Drosophila melanogaster: one gene and its partners. The protein of the gene in region 1 purifies or fractionates together with the protein of each later gene. This does not show direct contact. Each region holds a gene or a part of one and is shown on either strand. Other genes may lie near its edges.

Region 1 (6,358 bases):
GGGTCGGTTTCACACCGACCTCGCATTTCACTTGCATTTTCTAGTCCCACTGTGCGCAGTGAGGCCAAGCATCTTTACTGCATTACAGTGCAAACGAATCCAAAGCCGCAGAAAAACAAAAAGCAAAGTTAAAACCGCGACTGTTTGAATCTATTTGCCTTTTATCAAATGCCGGTAAGACAAAGAGAGAGAGAGATAGAAGGGGAAAGAGGATGGAGAAGCCAGAACGATCGGAGGCTGTGTGAATGAGTGAGCGAGATGGATGCGAGCAGGTAAAAAACCCGTCGTATATTTTGGGAGGATGGGGGCCGAGGGCGGTGGGCGGGGCAGTTGGTCTGCAACGCCTAACTGGTTCTTGGCAACCAACTTGTTTTTTCTGTAGATTGCCGCCGTCTGTGCTTTATTATGTTTTTTCCCTCCGACTTTATGCCTGTGCAATTTTTAATATGGCAACTTGATTTAAACGAAAAACTTACCCAATAAAATCGTAGACGTGGATTTATGCTTGTTTTTCGATCAATTCAATTGCCTGCGGTTATTTTATCCTTGCCTTCGTGGGGGTTTTGTTTTATATTTTTTGTTTGAAACTATTTTTACACGGGGATGAAAACAACTTTTCAGCATGGCAACAATACAAAAATGTTGCAGCACATTCAAAGCAACAACAAGAACAACAGGGAGGTAACATATGATAACCGAGGTCAGGCGGAAAGTGTGAGCGGGACAGGAGATTATCTTTTTGTTTTCTATTTTGTATGTTTCCTCAGCGAAGGAATTACAATAAATAATTATTTCCCAAAGACTTTATTTCACTTGGAGCACAGCATAAAAAATCCCTGAGCCGCTCACTTTTTCACTTCCTTTTGTTGGGGTTTTCGTCTTTTTTTTCGAACTTATTTTTTGCCACGAACTCGAGGTTTGGTTTGTTGTTGTTGCTAAGAATTTCAATACAATTATGGCCCAAATAGCATTTTCACTTTTCCACACAAGCACGCAGCCACCGCACGCACACACACTCACACAAGTACACAGTTGTTTGGCTCCGTTTTAAATGAAAATATAATCAAACATTTACATTGCCGTGTGTTTTTGCTCCACGAAAATGTATGATTATGTATGATTAGTTTTCCTTGCTCGCTGCACGCGCGAAAATCCGACGAAACAAAGAAACAAGAAACGACGCGAAGAGAACGTAACAACCTAAATAAACCCGATACAAAAATCGCGTCCGAATCGGCTCGTCGTTTCAACCAAAATCACCAGTAAAACTTTGCAGAGGCTTCGGGATGATGTGGCCAGACTCGCTAACTGTGCTAACAGCTGTAAGAAGAATGCCCCTAGTTTCGGAATAAATGTCTATCGTGTCTCCGATAATAAATGTACGCAAATGTTGGTTTTCTTGAAATTATTACATACATTGAAAAGTCTAATTGCTTATATTGTATTCTCTTTAAAATAAAAAGTAATGAACGAATGCGTGAGATATGATATAAATAGAGATCTCCAGTAACTTAAAACTCGATAGGTAAACAGCGTTCAAATACTGTTTACAATAATTGCTGAATATCTTTTTATATTTTATATGATCGATCTGTGAATCCTCCGTTTTGTTATTTTATAATGTCTTGCTTTATGCAAGACCAACACATGCATTTAACAAATTTAAATTGCAACTATAAATTTGCGCGCGCGACATGCAGCCCTGAAATGTCAATAATCTAGGAAATAAACTTTTGCAAAATCATAATCAATTCAAAAATCTTGCACACACGTCTCTAAATCTTTCGTACATTAATGCTCTGTGTGCAAATTAAATATCTTATATGCTTGTTTGGTTATTTCCTTATTTCCATGTACAATTAGCAGCCGATAGCAACTCTTTCTCATGCAGCCCTGGGCATGTACGAAAACGTAACGTAACGTGACCAGCAAACGGCGTGACGGCAAACGGGCAGCGCAAAGCGGACGAGCGAAAGGCGAACGAGTAGAGAAAAATTATTGAGCGCAGAGAAAAGTCCACCAAATCGAACGTCGCAGCAAGTGAAAAGGGCGAAAACCGGATAAAAAAAATATATAAATTACTGTGATTGCAATATATAAATAAGTGCGATCCAATATGAATGAGGAATACGATGCGATTGTGCTAGGAACGGGCCTCAAGGAGTGCATCCTCAGCGGGATGCTGTCCGTGTCCGGCAAGAAGGTTTTGCATATTGATCGAAACAAGTACTACGGCGGCGAGTCCGCCTCGATAACGCCGCTGGAGGAGCTCTTCCAGCGCTACGGACTGGAGCCGCCCGGCGAACGATTTGGGCGTGGCCGCGACTGGAACGTGGACCTGATCCCCAAGTTCCTGATGGCCAATGGCCAGCTGGTCAAGCTGCTGATCCACACGGGCGTCACCCGCTATCTGGAGTTCAAGTCCATCGAGGGCAGCTACGTTTACAAGGGCGGCAAGATAGCCAAGGTGCCGGTGGACCAAAAGGAGGCCCTGGCATCCGATCTCATGGGTTCGTTAATAATGCTCTTTTAAGTCCCGTTGCCTTTTTGCTTGGCGGTGAGCCCCCCACGAAAAATTGTGCAAATTACCAGCTGTGCTTGTGTGTGTGCGTGGTTGTATGTATGTATTTTCGTACTCGACTGTTATCTGCTTCCCCTCTCTCGCCCGCACCACTCTCTTTCTCTTCTCTTCTTTGTCTGCCTTTTCACTCGCTGGCAAAGCTCTTGTTGTTGTTATTCCCTTTTTTTTAATGTGACACGTATGTGTGTGCCGAAAAACAGTTGTTTTCTTCGCTCGCCAAAGAATTTCTACCAAAGTTTCCCCCACACATATCCATTTCCACACCATGTTTGTTGGCCCAACTATTATCGCCCTATTCCGATTGGAGTCGAAATTTTAATCGCTCTGCGCTGATTCATACACCTGCCGCTAATTGGTCGCCTCCATTTTACACCTGAATTTCGCTTTGTTTGAAATTTAAGTTTTTCCCTCTTCTTCGTGGCAGCAATGCAATTAGCTAAAACACGCTCTATTTATTTATGATTGGCTCTTGAATTTTTCCATTTCAATTTTTACTTAGTTTTTGCAACCAGGTTTTTGGCCAGGCGCATTGAACCCCCTTCACTTTACAGTGGAGATTGCCTATAAACGAAAACATTTCATGACTTTAGATGTACTACATTTTTTAATTTTTGTCTTTAATTATCAATAATTTGCATATAAAATAGAAATTTTCAATGAAAATGTGACTATTAGGTAGATTTTACTTCCGTTTGTAACAATACCTATTGGATGTCTCAATTTGCTAATTGAAAGTTAAACACCTTGTCCATGCTTCACTGTGTCCGCATTACACATATGCTCGGAATGACGTCATGGGGTGGCCAAGTGGTTTCTGATTGTTGGTGGTGTGTCCTCCGCCCCCTAAATTGAAGGTTTCCCACTGTAGTTGCGTGCTGTTGTCCCAGTGAGTGTCTGTATGTGAGTGTTTGTGGCATGCAAATGAAATGGAAACGGGAAACTTGAAACCCTCGGGCTCGTGCACTCCCTTTATATGCAGATCCTGAACCCCAAACTGACCAATATGGCATTATGGATATACATATATAAATGTGACTTTACTTGCAGGTATGTTCGAGAAGCGTCGCTTCCGGAACTTCCTCATCTACGTGCAGGATTTCCGAGAAGATGACCCCAAGACCTGGAAGGACTTTGACCCCACCAAGGCCAACATGCAGGGTCTGTACGACAAGTTCGGACTGGACAAGAACACGCAGGACTTCACCGGCCACGCCCTGGCCCTTTTCCGCGACGATGAGTATCTGAACGAGCCGGCCGTGAACACCATCCGGCGGATTAAGCTCTACTCCGATTCGCTGGCGCGTTACGGCAAGTCGCCCTACCTTTATCCCATGTACGGCCTGGGTGAGCTGCCCCAGGGATTCGCACGTCTGTCGGCCATCTACGGCGGCACCTACATGCTTGACAAGCCCATCGACGAGATTGTCCTCGGCGAGGGCGGCAAGGTGGTGGGAGTGCGCTCCGGCGAAGAGGTCGCCAAGTGCAAGCAGGTCTACTGCGATCCCAGCTACGTGCCCGAGAAGGTGAGATTCACAAAAGATTTGTGTAAACTAGCCTATTAGTCTTTTGGAAATAACCATGTATTACATTTCTTTTATGTGACAGGTGCGCAAGCGTGGCAAGGTGATTCGCTGCATTTGCATTCTGGACCATCCGGTGGCCAGCACCAAGGATGGTCTCTCCACGCAGATTATCATTCCACAAAAGCAGGTCGGCCGCAAGTCGGACATCTATGTGTCGCTTGTGAGCTCCACTCATCAGGTGGCCGCCAAGGGTTGGTTCGTGGGCATGGTCTCGACCACCGTTGAGACCGAGAACCCGGAGGTGGAGATCAAGCCTGGCTTGGACTTGCTGGAGCCGATCGCACAAAAGTTTGTAACCATTTCGGACTATTTGGAGCCGATCGATGATGGATCCGAGTCTCAAATCTTTATTTCGGAGTCTTACGATGCGACCACGCACTTTGAGACTACTTGCCTGGATGTGTTGAACATATTCAAGCGGGGCACTGGCGAGACGTTCGACTTCTCCAAGATCAAGCACGAGTTGGGTGACGAGGAGCAGTAAACGGGAATGAAGGCCTCATCTGGTTATGGTGCATTTGGACAGCTCAACATCAGCCACAAACATCGTAGATCGTCTCAGCGTCGTGGCCAAACCTTAAAAAAAAAAATACCCAAGATAAGAAAACCCAAAATAAAAGCCCAAAAAAACTAAAGAAAACCGAAAATCCAGAAATTGTATTACGAAAATGCTTTCCATCGAGAGATGAAGTTTTAGATGTGAAACGAATTGCTTGCTTCGCGCAATATTGGATATGCCTAGAAAATATATATATATATATACCAATATAACATAAATTATACAACATGCAGTCGCGTATATATGTACGTCTATATAAATGTATAACTAAGTGAGTGTTAGGCAACTAAATCAAATTCCACAGATTCAGCTTGTGACTCGAGCAAAAGCGCTAGACTCGACAAACACTCTCCCATTTCGCCGATAGGCCAGTCAGTCAGACGATTACGCTTGGACTTTAGTTGTACGAGTATATAATAAAGTATATATATATATATAAAATATGACATCGTATATATATATTATCTATGTATATTGCCCTTCTGCTTGGTTTTTCTTTCTTTTTTTTTTTTGTGATCCACCCAATTTGTGTGGCTGCCAAGGCTCCAAACGAAAGCATAACACATACCTATAAACACGACACAAACTCTTACACATGCATAGTGCAGCATTATAATTGTAATTGTAATCCCCAGAAAGAAATCGATGGTATTGAAAATGTAAAACAGTCGAAAAAGTTCATCGCAGCATATACCCAAAAATAATGCAATTGATCGAAGCGCGGCAAACGACATATAAAGAGAACAGAACCTAAGAAGTTTGTCAATGGTATAGAGAACTATGGTATTCCGCATTTTCAGAATTTACATTTTTAATAAAAATTAAAAAAATATAAACATTTTTTTTTTTATTTACTATTTTTATATTGAGGGATGTTATGTTTGCTTTCCTTTCCCCAAAAGTCTGGTTTCTTTTCGGATTAAGGAATCTTGTCCTGGAGTTTTTCCACCGACTCATTTTATTGAACGTTTTCAGTTTCCGGTTCCGTTCAAAATGTCACTTGAGTTTTATAGCTACCAGCTTTTTATATGTCCTGGAGCTTTTCACCTTTCACACAGACTCATTTAATTTGAGATTTTTAGTTCTGGTTCCAGCCAAAGTGGCACTGAGTTTTGACGTCTTCAGCTTTTGTAACAGCCAAATGGCGGCAGATTTAAACTACATCAGTATGCACTGCAGTCCACGTAGTGACGAAGCGCACCATAAGTGTGTGCCAAGGCGGCTACTATATACACACAGAGAAATGAAAATCTGCTGTTTGACAGATCCTGGAAGAATATGGAAAGGATTTAGACGTATTCTTTGAGGTGACTTAGGATGGTCTGGTCTGTAAAGGAAATGGAAGGGATCTGGCCTAATTCTGGGTGGGATCAAGGAGGTATCTGTGTGGTGTCTTGTTAGGAAGGGGGACCTCTTAGTATAGAGACTCGGTTGTAAATAAAAATCTTTTCCAGACTCGCCATCCAAAAGTGACGACGACAGTCCGGGCGTTTCAGAGTTTGTTAGCTTTTCGCCGGATTTGAATCACGCAGCCATAGGGTTATAGTTATGACCAGGACTCCTCGTTGCCTCTTTATGTGACACAATTACGAATTCCGCAGCAAGTGTTTGGGATGCATTTGAAATACTTGCCCC
Region 2 (8,438 bases), 7.1 Mb from region 1:
TGGAACCCCGAGGCTGGAGTTCTTGGTTCTGGCTGCGATGTGCCCGCCTCAACTCCGCTGCGTGCTCGGCCAGGGTCATCGTCTTAAAACCTACATGCCTTGCACCCATGCCCAAGGTGCATCCGCCCGCCGTTGGTACACAACTGAAGCCCTGTTGTCGTGGGAAGTAGAACACCTTCACCTCGTCAAAGTTGATGGAGCGCTTAGTCCGCTTCTGGGGGGCTACTGGAGGGGCAGACATGTCGGGCACCAGATCTATAGCATCGCTTTCCGAATCTTCGAGTCTCCGTTTAAGGTTGGACCTTATGGGCTTCGTTTCCACCTTTTTCTGGATTTCCGGCTCGGCTTCTTTCTCCGCCTGATCCTTGAGTAACGCGGAGGTTTCACTTCCTAAACCAGAATCAGACCCACCATCTCTAAGCTCATCCTCTTTCGGTTTGGCTGGCTGGGCAGGCTCCAATGATGCTTGGTTGTTGGACACCACCTCCGCTGATCTGGTGGCCATTTCCGTCTCATTGTTCAACTTCAGCCAAAGAAGTTCTCCACTGGTGTCGACCTCCTCGTTTGTGGTGACCGACGCGGAGTCAAGAATGTTGTCAATTGCCAGTGGGTCCTCGGAGACTGCGTCGGAAGCTATTGAAGAGTTAAGATCCGCATCGCCTAGTACGATTATCTCATTATTAGGATAGTTCTCCAGCTCAAGGAACTGCTCCTCTAGTTCGGTGTCCGCCGGGCCGTGAGCAAAGTCCGCCAGTTCATCATCGAGCTGCTCAAGCGGCATGGGTAGGGAAGCCAACGCCTTGGCTTTCGCTGCGTGCACCTTGCTGGCGTCAATTATGGAGGTTTTGATCTGCCTCTCGATGTCGTCGTCGTCATCGTCCAGGTGGGGAAATATTTGCAGCTGATGCTGCCGCTCCTCCGGTTCGCTCTGATTATCCTTGTGATCCAGATGCCGCTGATCCTTCCTTTCGCCTTCGTCGTGGGCAGTTAGGCTGGTGGTCCCCTCCCTTTGGCCGGCGGCCTTGTTTCCTGATGGGCTAAACATATTGGAGCCGCTCGCATTTTTTTGTATGTACGTAAATATTTTTTTTATAGGACTAAACATGCTATCCGTGTCGAGGTCCCTAGATCATTGAGTGTCCTTTGGTCATCTGCAAGAAAGTAGGAGGAAATGGTTTTACATAATGTTGCTTGGAAATTTCCTTCGCAGGTAGCGAAAACGTATAGATCAGGTGTGTATGTACAGTGTCCATTCGAGAGGGAGAACTGCCGGGAATGCGAAACTTTATTTCTGAGTAAATTAATTACACCTGTTTACGTTTCGTAAGAGCCCCTGACCAGGTCCTAGATCCAACAAACAAATTGCCAAAAGCCTAATGAGTGTACCTTTTACAACTTGTGTAAATATTTAGAAATATTAATTTAGCTCAAGTATTAATTTTACTGCTCGCAAGAAATCAATTGTTTTCTGTGTACGTGTAATGGTTTAAAAATATATATCTTTCGCTTTAATGTTCCGCTCACTTGTATGTTCGCTTTTTCGAATGAGCACTGTGCTTGGATGGGTGTGCGTGTGCAGAATCCTTTGAAATCCTGGATCCCCGAGAATTTCGCACGCTAGAAAGGAGACCACCCGAAAAGTAGACATACCGCTAACCAAAATCAATATTGATTAGCTTCTTTTTTTGGGGGCCCACCTTTGCGCTTATATTTTCGCAGCCAAGCCAACGGCCGGACTCGCAAGATCGGTGGGATTTATCCTTTTTGCAATTTGCGTTGCAGCTGCGATAAAAAACTGAGAGCGAGAGAGATGACGAAAGACGCAACTGTGTGCGTGTGTTTGTGCAAGTCTGTGCGAGTGTGTGCGTGAAGGAGGCGAATCAGGACACAAAGGTCGGTATTCTTTTATTAACACAATCACTTTACTATGCGCCTGGCAACGCCCAAAATTATGATTTATTTTTTAAAACTCATTTCGCACTTCCGTAAACTTTTTCTTAATTTTTCACTTCTTCTTTTCTCGCAATGTTATTACTTCTTCTATTCAGTGTGCCCGTCGCTGGACCCCTGCAACATGACAACAGTCCTGCACCGATCCAAATGTACTTAAAAATACCAGGCAAAAATTGATAAAAGTGTATACGATAGAGCGTGATAGATAAATGTGACTCACTAGTAGATGGTGCGTGTATTTGCTAAGAAATAATTCAGAAGAAAAATTAAAACAAATTCACCAATGGAGCCGGTTCCTGCAAGCTCATTGATTACATAAATTCATAGTAAGACAATTATTATGTAAAATATACCCGTTTTACGATTCATTAGTTGACTCGTGCAGCAAAGAAATATGTTTTGTATATTCACGGTAAGAAATGTTTATATTAAAATTTTATTTATATTGTGTAATATGTTGGTCCCACTAATCGATAGAAATATGTATCGTTGGTTGGAGCCTCTGCTAACGAGCAGAGCTTAGGATATGTTTGGCATATTCCAACAGTCGTCCTGCGGTCACACATAAAATTCCAAGAAAGTTGTAAGTTAAGTTTACTAATAAACCAGGCGATAATTTCGCTAGCCATTAGCAAGGCAAGGAAGCTAAAAAAGACAAAAATCTTTGGCAAATCAATGGTGACGTCGCCCAGGAAGTTAATCGACAAAAACACGACCTGCGACGCGACGATAATTTTGCGAGAGGCGAGTCAGTCGCTATCTATCTCCCTCTGCGCTCGTTTCGTTTCGTTTCTTGGGGCTGTTTTGGGGCACACAATTGAAAGGAAAAAACGTAAATGCAAATGGTCAACTGGTCTCCAAGTGCCGCGTTTAGAAGAGTGCGTAATTCGGCGGAAAGTCGAGTGCTTTTGCGTTGTTGTTTTCGCTCACCCCTCGTAATTAATTAAGAAAGTTGTGTAAAATTTTTTCGCCCCGTCCGCCATAGTGCGAGTGTAAGAGCGAGCGCGATAGATGGCCCTGAATTTTGGGTGCGTTGCCCATGAGAGTGGGCGCTAGAGCGAGACGGCCGTACGACCTGCTCCAAGTGCAGCGTGCACAGTGGGTCGCAAGGCCTAAGATAGTTCACGAATCTAATTGTGAAGAGATAAAGAACACTGCAGGTGCACTCTGGTATGGAGTAAAGCTGGCAAAATCGGATCTTGGCCCGCATTATCACCCAATTTATCAGCGCTTTACACGCCAAAACGGATCAAAAATCGCGGTTCTTTGTTCCGCCTGTTTTGCGTCTTTAGTTATGAGAGAGAGTGTGGGTGTGTGGTGTGTGTGTATTTATCGGCAATCCGTTCCCTTATCGTGCAAGTTTCTCAAAGAACTGTCTTTGTCTCTGATGTTTCTATAAAGCCCAAATGTAAACAAAAACGCATCCTTCTATTTGTTTATTCTAGACCTTTTCGCTCGCTTTGCAAATGGAAGACCCGCATTTGTCAAGCTATACATATTTACGGAGTGATGTGTGGTGTGACAGTAAATATAACGCTAATTGTATTCTCCGTTTTCTAGACGTGCTTCAAATATGCGTGCTGAGAAAATTGCACTTGTTGACTTTTCGAGTGAGGCAATTCCACAGTCAAGCTCACGTGAATAGGGCCATGTTGATATAATGAAAATGTTTTAAGTTTCCAAAGGTGGATTTAAAACTTAATTCATGCTTAAAATTAAGCACAAGCTATGTGGACGTTCTTCTTTATTTCATATTTATATTAAATATCTTTAAAATCTAACATAAGATTTGTAACTTAATTCCACGTATTACAGCTATTTGATTGATAAAGGCTGTGGCTACGTATGGTTGTTGTTCTCGCTCTCATTCTCTTTTTTGATTCACTTGCATTTGTATTAGTCGCGTGAATGACGCATCGTCAGCTGTTCTAAAAGAACCGTAATTTCCTGAACGTTGTTTTATATTTTATTGAATTTTCCGCAGACGGGCGCGAAAGTCACTCCTGTTGTCCAAGTGACTTTAAAGTTTAATAAACCGCATTAATTACGGTTCGAATTAAAATTAGCGGTGAGTTATTTACTGACAGCTGTCCGCTTCTCAAGGAAAATTTTGCATTGGCTTAGTGAGACACACTGCTTGTTTTAATTAAATTTAAAGTGCAGTTTTCGTTTTGGCTTAGACGCAAAAAACAGCAAAATACGTCATTCGCTGGATAATGAAAAGTAATTGTAGGCGAAATTTCTTTATCGCAATGAGAGTGCGGTTTTCGAAAAGAGAGACCAAGTTGTCGGCTTCTGTATGTGTGTGTGACTGTGCACTTGGCTCCAAAGTCTCCGGGAAAAAAACAATTGAATGATCGGAAGGGAGGGGGAGAAACAAACAATTGTTGACTGACTGCATTTTTAATGGCAAAGAGAGGGCCTGCATATTTCGCTCTCTCCCTCATTCCTTGTTAATTTAATAACGCCGCACAGCGTACATGTTTGTCACGCTTTTACTTTCTCCACGTCTCCCCGTTAATTTATTTTGCATTGATTTTTATCACAGCTTCCGCCCTCACTCTGTGAATTCTCTTCGCTCTGCGCTCACTTCTCTCCACAAAGTAAACAAGACTCGTGTAGAATTCCATACCCCGATCTTCGTAGATTTATCTCCACTGTACAGTCTGGCTTCAATGTGTTAATTAATTTCTGTCGGAATTCTGAGATTCCCGTCGTCGGTCATAAAAACGAAAAGCATGTGAACGATACTTTGTGAAGATTTGAAAACGACTTTAGCTTAGTTAATATATGCAACAGTAAATATTTTTAAACAATTTTAATGATTACTCTCTGTTTAAAACGATATCTTGTTTCGGGATCAACGTATCTGTGGGACATCGGTAAAAGTGTAGTGGCCAATGGGGCGTATGATTCATAAAAGTGGCACTGATAACAAAAATACTGTGAATGCCACACGCATTACCGCTGAATAATGCGAGGCGTCCTCTGTGTTATGTACTATTATACACATATGTACACAAATTCACCCGCCCTCGAAATATTTTCCACCAGAAAGTGTGTGAATTATCAATTGCGCGGTAGCCCCTAGAGGAGCTGCAATAAATATCTTTTACGATAACTTAGATTTCCCGCACAAGGGACCGATAAGAATGTTGTAGTTTCGATTACTTGTAAACCCCTTATCTGCCACGAAGAAAGGGAAAAACAATAATTGCGCCTAGAAAGCGCATATAAGGTTTCCCCTTTGTGTTTGCCAAAGTATTTTTAGTTGTTGATGGATTTGTATTTGCACATGTAATTAAGAATGTTTGTGTTTGTGGATGTTTGAAGCAGTCACGCAAGGAATTTTCTAAACACAACTCATAACATTGAACATCTAATCGTGGAACAATTGCTTTCACTGATTTTCCTATCACAAGCTTATCAGTACTATTATGTTGCCAAGTGACACAAATAGTAATGATATGTTTTCGGATGTGTAACACTTATAAATATAAATATAAATAAACTAATATAAGCTCTAATGTGAGTTTTTGTAGGGCGTACTGCTTTCAATTTCAATTGAATTTATCAGTGACCATTGGCAGACGCTTCCCTTTTCCTCTGTTTCATTTACTGATGGAAAACGTCGGCTTTTTGTGCATATTCTCGGATATGTACATATTGAACTGGGCTTGTCGACGGCGTCATTAAACAAACAAAGGCGCCACACAATCATCTGATGGTTTTATGTGGGTTTTATATTCATCCACATGGGCAGCATGTTTTCAAGGGGACTGAGTTTAAGCCCTAAAAACGTACCATTATGGCAGAAGAATTGGAAGCACTCAATTTCGTTTTTATCCGTCTCCATTATAAATATGTACATTATTTGTATTTTGCAGATTCCGCATCCACACTCAGCAGCAATCTTAGCAGAAAGACTTACTCAGCAGAAGAGGGAGTGAGTTGCAGTAACCGTCCGTAGAACCAAATATCAGTTGCCATCTCAGAGGAGGAAGAGCGCATCCACATTCGCATCCGATCCAACCCGAACCGATCATGGCAACCACTCCACGCAGCGGCGGTGCCAGCGGCACTGGAACGGCGCAGCGGCCCAATGGCACCTCGCAGAACAAAAGCTGCCAATTCAAGTTGGTGCTCCTCGGCGAGTCCGCTGTGGGCAAGTCCTCACTGGTGCTGCGCTTCGTCAAGGGACAGTTCCACGAGTACCAGGAGAGCACGATAGGTGCGGCCTTTCTGACACAGACTATTTGCATAGAGGACACTGTCGTTAAGTTCGAGATCTGGGACACGGCTGGCCAGGAGCGGTAAGTATCGCTGGATAGATCACCCAACTGAAAGCTTCATCTGACATACTTATATTCGCTTTTGTAGGTACCACAGCTTAGCTCCCATGTATTATCGAGGAGCGCAGGCCGCTATTGTCGTCTATGATATACAGAATCAGGACAGTTTTCAGCGTGCGAAGACCTGGGTCAAGGAACTGCATAAACAAGTGAGTGTCAGCGGGGAAACTTGAATATCGTGCAGAGTGTTTTAATATTATAATCATTTATATTATTGCTCATGAAGTGCCTCAGTTCAATATTCTTAACTCGAGAAATTCGTTCACTTGATACGTAAATTATATTACATAAAATATGTATTAATAAAACTTTTTTCCAGGCCTCACCAAACATTGTCATTGCGCTGGCCGGCAACAAGGCAGATTTGTCAAACATTCGCGTCGTAGAGTTCGATGAAGCGAAGCAATATGCCGAGGAGAACGGGCTGCTGTTCATGGAAACCTCCGCCAAGACGGGCATGAATGTGAACGACATCTTCTTGGCCATTGGTAAGCTATAAGGAGCCGTCGTAAACGCTTCGAAAACTTTGCTAATCACTACCCCAACCACAGCCAAGAAACTACCTAAGAACGATGGCGCCAACAATCAGGGAACCAGCATAAGGCCGACTGGAACCGAAACAAATCGACCGACGAACAACTGCTGCAAGTGATGTCCCTTCGTAGGTAAGTTAATTGCGTTGGAAATACGGTTGCATTACTAACACAGTTTTTTTTTGGCTTTACAGAAAATGAAATTTCCAACGAGAGATTTGAAAAGTTTATGCTGATAATTATAAATAAAAAAATTATTTAAAAATTCAACAGAATCAGAAAGAAATACCTAAAGCCGGCTCTCGCAGGGGACGAATTTCATTTGAGAGCCACGAAACCAATAATGATAAAGACCACATAAGAATTATAAGCATTAAACAAAGGAGCTCCCATTCCCAACATAAACGAAAGTTGCAATTAAAGAAAGTTAGTTACAAATTCCCACACCCGATTTCCCCCATTACGCTCGATATCTGTCCAAAAAATATACAAGCAAACTGACACTCACGCAATTGAGCTAAAATATCAGTATAATTCCAACATAAACCATTTCAAATAACAACGCAAATTAATAATGAAAACTAAACATGAGAAGAAAGCGCAGGGTTTTTGGAGATTTCATCGTGTCGTAGAAAGTTTGAAATCGTATTGTATAAAAAAAAGAGAGAAACCCCGAAACCAACTAAGCGAGCAAAGAATATTTGTAAAGATTACATGTCGTGTAAGATTCTGAGCATTAAGTAAGGGGCAGATTCCAGTTGCAGTTGTTCTCAGCAGCGTTCCAAATAAAACAAACAAAACAAACAAACACCACAAGGAGCAAATGTTCAGGCCAGCGGCTGAAGATCCTCGCTCGCCTCGGTTTGTGGCAATGTGTGTGTCTCTACGGCTCCGGAGCTCGGACTCCAGATCCGGATACGGACGCGGATGATTCGACTCCGGGTCGCGGCGGACACGTGTGATAGTTGCAATTTATATAAATTATATATACACATATGAAAATGAAGGAAAACGAAAACCACAAAAAAAAAAAGAAAACCAATTATGCATACTTTTAGATTTTTTTATTTTTCAATTTCGCCTTGCGTTGAACTATTTTCCACATTCTAGCAACAATCGAAGATTTAATGCTACTATCTTTAAACGTAAACGAGAACGGAGATACTATCGTAATCCATAAAAATTAAACTTACATCTAGTATGCAATTAAGCGGAGAGGAAGTAAAGTGAATTAAAATAAATAAATAAAACAAATCGAACAACACAATACCGTAAACAACTTGTTTAAATCGTTCCACAAACATCAAAGATCCGATGCATATTTCTTTCCAATTCGTAATTTTTATGTTGTCTGTATGTATTTAAATTTAAAATTTATAAATTATAATAAATGAAAACATCGTATATACTTATATATATATATATATGACTGCGTATATACATATATGGTCATTCGATTTGAATCGACAATGAGCTCACAATCGCTTTTGTATTATGGGTTTTCAAAATATTAGCTCATGGCTTTATAAAAAAGGTAATTTAACTTTTTTTTAGCAGAGAAGTTCCTTTGCGGCGGAAAGACATTGGAAAATATGTTGCA
Region 3 (7,093 bases), on another chromosome or scaffold:
GCAATGGATGGTTCCACCGCAGGTGCCTGCAGCGCTACGCCAACTCGTCCGGCTACTTCTTCAAGTGCCCGCTGTGCAACAACACAGATGTGTTCCGCAGGGTGGCTTATATGGGCATCGCGGTGCTGGACCAGTAAGTTAAAACCTACTACATTTGGAGCAAACAAGCCCAACTAACCAGTACTTGTATTCCGCAGAGACGCTTCCTGGGAGACCGAGCCGGACGCCTTTGCTGGGCAGTACCGCCGCGATGTCAATTGTACGGCCGCGTTGTGCGTTGCGGTCTCTGGTCGCGCCGACACTTCCGCCATGCTGCTGTACTGCACCTCATGTGGCGCCAATCCGTCACATTACCTTTGCACGTTGAAGACTCTCCAAAACTACGTCTGCAAGGTTTGCTCAGCCGTCAGCCCGGAGGCAGTGCCCGTTGCCGAATCGGACTCGGATGACGCCGGCTCAATGGACGACTCGGCCGAAGCCCCACGTCCAGGTCACCTAAATGGTGATCAGATTCAAGAGAAGCTATCACCCTCCCATTGGGATGATTTCGGCTCCTCCGACGATGATGCCGTCTTTCAGCGTGCGTTCGATACCAAAGTGCAGAGTCGCGTGGTGACCCTCTCCGATGATCAACCATCTACTTCTGCGGGGGCACGCGCTTTAGCCGATCGTGGAACTCGCACATTTGAATCACAGGGAACGCAAACAACATTTCTCTCAAGTGTAGTAACCTCGTTTCGCTCTGCTACTGCAACTGCGACATCATCCACATCCACATCCACATCCACATCCGCATCGACACTTGATAACCAAGAAAACACTGAGCCGTCCACATCGAATGGACGTCGTCCCTGGCGCCCTAGATACGTCTCGCCGCCTAGACACGTGTCGGATAGCGATGACGATAGTGATGAATATGATAGTGATGAATATGAGTCGAAGAGGCGCCAACTTACGCCCACTGCCGCTGCGCCGTCGAATGGCAGGCGTCTGTTGGGCTCCATCTCGCCGGAGCCGAGCACTCCTGCTCCACGTGTCTTACGTCGCCGCACTTTGGCCAACAGGCCTTCCTCACTCGCCAACATGGATATATCCTGTGTGGCCAATAGGACCCGCCACCGCTTGTCCAACCACATGGCCAGCCGCAAGGATTAGGAGAACAGATGACATTACAATAGATCACACTCGCACAAATCCATGTACACGGCAAGATCAATATGGATATATCCTGAGTGGGCAGGATACCCGCAGGGACTAGGAGAACAGATGACAACATCACGATACATAACACTTGCACATTCCATTAACCATCACATCGACTAGGTTGTGGACCAAATGCGTGCGTTTGGTTCGCACCCGTTATTCTCTATTTTCCGCCTTTTGTACATATAAAATTCCATTAAAATCCTGTTCTCCTAGCGGTATTCGCTAATAAGATGCATTTACCATTTATTTGCTTTGTTAAGTAAGCTAAGTAAGTGCTCCTTTCCACACGTATAAATAACTTGTATACATATTTACTTTAAGTAGCTGTAGACATTATTTTCCCCATCTGACTTTCTTTTCAGCAGCTCGCAGTGCCTACATTATTTCAATTACTCTAAGCATTACATTTTTTTGACTAGCGATCTAAGAATCCCTGAATCCAGTATCTGTATCAAGAATCCCAGTATCTGAACGCTAAAATGAAATAAATAAAATTAAAATATTTGAAAAATAAGTTAGAATGATTTTATTTGGATGTTGAAAAAACTTCTCAAAAGTTGTAAACTACGAATACTCACTTTCATTAAGAGTATAGCGTTTTGCTTCTAGTTAATACCCGCTACAAATCGGTATGAAAGTATATAATATTTAGTTTTTTTTTTGGTATTAATATAATATGGGCTTTATAAGTGATTATTTGAAGATTTTTTAAAAATCGCGCCATTCATAATAAATAAGTGCTGGATATGGCCAAAAGTTTATGCACAGGTGGCAACGTTAGCAACCCGCTAAACGGCAACACTTGCGATAATGTTCTCTAAATATATCGATACATATTGATATTAAAAAAAATTGCCAGTATTAATTTATTAAACTAATTTAATTTTTTGAGTGGGCACATTGCATATTTAGTTACAGAAAAATTCGACTTTATGCTCCGGCTAAATGAATCGATGTTTGTGGGGTACTATCTATCCTAAACTATCGATAGCATAAACATCGCATTTGGTTCCGTCTCTAGTGTGGGTGCGTTAGCAATAGTTTATCCAGAATATGAATTAACCAGAATTAATCCGCAACGCCGACGCCCACAAATTCCCACAAATCGTCGTCCTTTCAGCGCTGCAAGAGCAACCCGGAAGCTGGAAAGTTCGAGACCGCCGAGAAGCCCAATATAAATTCAACAGTCAGCCAGAGCTTCACTCCTGTGTGTGTGTGCGTGCGTGCGTATGTGTTCGTGTGTTGTGTCTGTGCTACAGTGTTGGAGAGAGCGAGACGCACGATTGCGAGGGAGTCGAGCTTTGCGAAAATTTGCCAGCCTATATTGAAATATTTTCGGCACCAAATCGCCGTCTTATCCGCCAGCAAGCCATTGGATCTGATGGAAATGAGCCTGCCGCTCGATTTCTCTTCGCAAATCCGCTGTTAAAGCAAAAGCAACAATTGTACCAGTGGAGCCAAAAAAAGAGAAACACACCTACCTAATCAAAGGAAATTAAATAACAAGGCGGCGGCAACAACACTTACATAAATTAACTCGCAACGCAACAACACTAATAACTATAGCTTATCACACAGCAACAAAAACATCAGCAACAGCAGCAAAAACAACAACAACAACAGACCAGCAGCCAGAAAGAACAACAGCTTATCTCAGATATTCAGCCGGCTGCACCAGTGCGAGCGAGAGGGTCGTAGCTTGGGGCGAAAGAGAGGGCGCTTCCGAGAGAGTGCGAAAGAGAGAGAGAGAGAGAGTAAGCGCAGGGAGTGTGCTCCTGTGTGTGTGAGTGTGGGAGCAGGCAGCAGAAAAAAAGAAAACAAAAGTATATTTTGCATTGTTCGACGCGCCTAACTGTAAATATAAAAGCACTTGCAAAAACAAGGAAAAACACAGAAAAACAGCGAAAAAACGTCGAAAAATGGCACGCGGCTTCGATCATCTATTCAAGTTGCTAATAATCGGCGATAGCGGTGAGTTTCCCAGGCATTCCCGTTTCCCACAGACCAGGTGCTTAAAAATAGCATCGAGTTGAAAATAGCAGGTGTAAATTGCAATTTGTCCCCGTTTCCTGGCCAAAAACGCAGTTGTCTCCACCTCCCTTTCGCATTACTGCATCTGATTACCATTAATGTATGTTACATTTAAAATGCTAACGCCAACATGGCGTATGAGTAATGTTGTTTTCAGTTTCCATAATACTTTCAACATTCGTCAGCTTCTTGTTTCTATACTCAATGTTTTTGGCATACTCAACATGTGTTAGGTTGTACTAATTTTATATATTTAATCATAAATGCAAAAGCACTTTATATCAGTCCTGTCCTCCTCCTAACGTAGCTATCTACATATTCATTTGGGCGTATTTCGAGAAAGGTGGTCTGGCTCGGGCAAAACCAGGCTCATGACTAATGGTGACGCACTGGCAGGATATACAGCTTGATATGCGAGCAGACCAGCTGCGGCGGTAACCGGAGCAGGAGAACACTCCCCGCTCCACAGCAATGTCATATGCCGAATGGGCTTACTTGTGTGTAGTAACGATATCACATTTTTGTAATACGAATCCCATTCCATCTTTCCATCTGATCCCCTGCAGGCGTGGGCAAGTCGTCGCTGCTCATCCGGTTCTCGGACGACACATTCTCAGGCAGTTACATCACCACCATCGGCGTGGACTTTAAGATCCGCACCGTGGACATCGAGGGCATGCGCGTAAAGCTGCAGATCTGGGACACGGCCGGGCAGGAGCGCTTCCGGACAATCACCAGCACCTACTACCGCGGCACCCACGGCGTCATTGTCGTCTACGACGTCACGAACGGCGAATCCTTTGCGAACGTCCGCCGCTGGCTGGAGGAGATCCAGAATAACTGCGATGTGGTTAAAAAAGTATTAGGTGAGCCTATATCGTATTACGCACAGAATTGGTTGACCCGTACTGAGAAGTAGTTGTTGGCTATGCCAAGCGGAGCTTAATTAGTAGACAACTTACATTATCGATATAGACTCATGTTTCGATTCCTCAACAGTGGGCAACAAGAACGACGATCCGGACAGGAAGGTGGTCATTACCGAAGACGCGCAGCGGTTTGCGAAACAAATGGACATCGAGCTATTCGAGACATCTGCCAAAGACAACATAAACGTGGAGAACATGTTCTTGTCGATTACGCGACAGGTGCTCGATCACAAGCTGCGCACCTCCCCCAACGAGCAGCAGAAGGACACGCTCCATCTGAAGCCCAATCCCAAGGGCAGCAAGGGTGGGAAGTGCTGCAGGTGAAAGCGGCTCCGGCACGGGAGCTGGCATTGCAACTGGACCGACGGCGACGGCGGCGGCGGCGGCGGCGGCGGGACGGGAATTGGAACTGAAATTAGGACCAGGACCTGGATCAACTTCGGGGGCGGACGGAATCGTTGTGGGGGCGCGTAGTTTGTAGGGTTCTTGGCTTACGATTCGACACAGACACTCACTCACATAGACATAGCTAACACCACCAAACAACCAACAACAAGAAACCACACAAAGCAAACAACACGAGACAACTGAACAACACTCACACCCACTAGAGACAACAATTTTTTTTGTTTTGTTTTTTTTTTTCCTCCTCAGTTTTATTCGGAATAATGCCAGATAGCCGTAAATTAAAGTGTAAAAGTGTAAAGCGCAATTAAATGTATTTAGCAATTTATATACATATTAATATATACATACATAAACAAAATTGAAACAAATTGCATATTTATATACAAGAATATATTTATATTTCAAACGGAAAATTGTATTTACAATAACAAGAGCGACCGCAGGAAAAGGCACGAGGACGCAAACGCCTCGCTCGCTAGCTAAGCTACGAAACACATTTATAGAAATATATAAATATATATACATAGATATACATATGTGGGGAGATCAAATTATTGGCTTCCGATCGCGACTCTCCACTTTTAATACTCCCATAGTTTAAAATTTAAAAACGAAAGCTCTGATCTGCCGACTATCAATCGCGAAAGACACGTTTTGAATGAATCTGAAATTTTATTTGCTTGGAGTGATGCTTTTAAACATTTCGTTGCTCTCGGAAACTGCCTTACTTGTTAAGATTTCATTTGATATTATTGCCGCCATTCCGTGATTGATTTAACTGGATAAACTAAAGAACTTCAGGGACTGTTTCCAATTCTTTTGGATGTGCTTGCTTAAAATGAAAAACCTGAAACTGTCAGCCAATATGATTTCCAATGCAAATTTTCTGAAGAGAAATAGTTGTAGGTAATGTTTGTATCTATTCGAAAACCGGGGAACCAATACTCCAATTCTCTGATATTATATACATACATTACATATGTACCCTCAGAAAGAATAAAGATTGATCTTTGGAAAAACACGATTACTTGCGCTCGGACTGTAATTCAAAACCATGTTTTTAATCCATAGCTATGTTGAATATGTCCAAAATGTAGCCACTTTTCATTTAAGTCCTTAGGCATTGCTGATTTAAAATTAAATAAGATATGATTGGCAATCAACATTTTGTGGCATTCTTTTATGCCACAAATGCATTTAATACATCGCTACATTTGTATTGTATCTAAGTTAAAAACGCACCAAATCGCACTGCAAGCACGTTCGTTATTTTTGGTAAACTTTCCCGATTTTACAATTTTTGTTAGCTTCTAAAAGTAGTTGCATACTCTTCGGCGACTCTATGAAACGAGTGAATAACGTAGTAACGAAGCGCACTAGAATTTATATTTATATGTTCACAATGTACATATGGGTTCGCTTTGTGGTAACCATATTTATTCTGCTTAAAAAACCATTCGATTCATAGATTTATTTTAAATACCACAATAATCGATTTCGGTTCCAGTATATATTTATTTATATGTAAACCTTGAGCTATACCCAAAATTCAAAGACTATGTTATTGCGTTTGAATACCAAAATGAATTACCTAGTTGTGGTTTGGGCTGAAAAAAGCTTTCAGAAAGTGAGGCAAACTCATAGTTAAATACTATTCTCGAATATGAAACCTATATTTCATACCAACCAAAAGAAAACTATATATTTATATAAATGTATATATATATCTATATATATAGATGTATATATTTATCGATCAAAATAAAGAAGGCAATTTGATTTTCTAAAATGTTTGGTCTTTTGCATTTAGCCGTTAAGATTTTGGGTTGGATTTCGGTACTAAGACAATCAGTAATATAATCTTTATATCTTTAAAATGGAATTTTTTCCCTTCTGCAGTATTTGAAAACAATTTGTTTAACTTTTTTATGATGTATTCAGTTGTTTGTGACTTTACGGATCCCAGAAAAATAGCACATTGTTTATGATTATTATTTACTTGTATTATTTATTGTTTTTCAACGCATTTTTTATCGCTTCTGTTGGGGAGAGCACGAGGTTAGGGCAACGACTAGTACGGGAAGTGGGCAGATGCGGATTGGTGCGGATTGGGATGGGGATTGGCTGGGCGGATGGTGACTGGTTTGGCAGGCAGTGCGGCTCCGGGACTATACGACTCCCCATCCCGCCTCAGTGGTACTTGGCCACGGGAAAGGTGCGCGTCTGGCGACAGGACACCAGGGCGTCGCCCGACTGTCCCTGTGGACAGCGGCAGACAGCCAGGTGGGCCTTGGGCTCGCAGCTGGCTCCAGTGGCACACTTGCCGATGCAGGGATCGATGCACTGGTAGTTGATGCAGGCGCGATGGTCGGGGCACTCGTTGTTGCTCAGGCACTCACCCTGTGGACGAGGGTAAGTGGGTTAGTACAGTAGTTATGCCCCATTATAATGGAGAATGAAGAAGAAGAAGAACTCTATTTAAAATCGAAATACAGACAAAATTTCGACATATTTGCCGT

The links. Proteins that work in one complex are often made in the same cells at the same time.
Region 2: the proteins of Gdi (region 1) and Rab5 purify together in Drosophila melanogaster (affinity purification with mass spectrometry; 2 studies listed by BioGRID). This does not show direct contact.
Region 3: the proteins of Gdi (region 1) and Rab35 purify together in Drosophila melanogaster (affinity purification with mass spectrometry, with the first as the bait; 2 studies listed by BioGRID). This does not show direct contact.

The regions. Positions count from the first base shown.
Region 1 is NT_033779.5:9,490,374-9,496,731, reverse strand, and holds Gdi (GDP dissociation inhibitor), read left to right. Parts: upstream 1-1,855; 5' UTR 1,856-2,116; coding exon 2,117-2,510; intron 2,511-3,628; coding exon 3,629-4,104; intron 4,105-4,186; coding exon 4,187-4,648; 3' UTR 4,649-5,556; downstream 5,557-6,358.
Region 2 is NT_033779.5:2,358,988-2,367,425, reverse strand, and holds Rab5 (Rab5), read left to right. Parts: upstream 1-2,152; 5' UTR 2,153-2,365; intron 2,366-2,471; exon of another isoform or gene 2,472-2,589; intron 2,590-2,704; exon of another isoform or gene 2,705-3,113; intron 3,114-3,921; exon of another isoform or gene 3,922-4,021; intron 4,022-4,644; exon of another isoform or gene 4,645-4,751; intron 4,752-5,570; exon of another isoform or gene 5,571-5,687; intron 5,688-5,840; 5' UTR 5,841-5,997; coding exon 5,998-6,266; intron 6,267-6,333; coding exon 6,334-6,454; intron 6,455-6,624; coding exon 6,625-6,793; intron 6,794-6,856; coding exon 6,857-6,957; 3' UTR 6,958-6,970; intron 6,971-7,032; 3' UTR 7,033-7,860; downstream 7,861-8,438. Other genes in the region: Axud1 (AXIN1 up-regulated 1), read right to left, coding at 1-1,105.
Region 3 is NC_004354.4:20,154,980-20,162,072, reverse strand, and holds Rab35 (Rab35), read left to right. Parts: upstream 1-2,200; 5' UTR 2,201-3,125; coding exon 3,126-3,177; intron 3,178-3,544; exon of another isoform or gene 3,545-3,715; coding exon of another isoform or gene 3,716-3,734; intron 3,735-3,803; coding exon 3,804-4,103; intron 4,104-4,236; coding exon 4,237-4,490; 3' UTR 4,491-6,307; downstream 6,308-7,093. Other genes in the region: Phf7 (PHD finger protein 7), read left to right, coding at 1-133, 198-1,155; aspr (asperous), read right to left, coding at 6,765-6,974.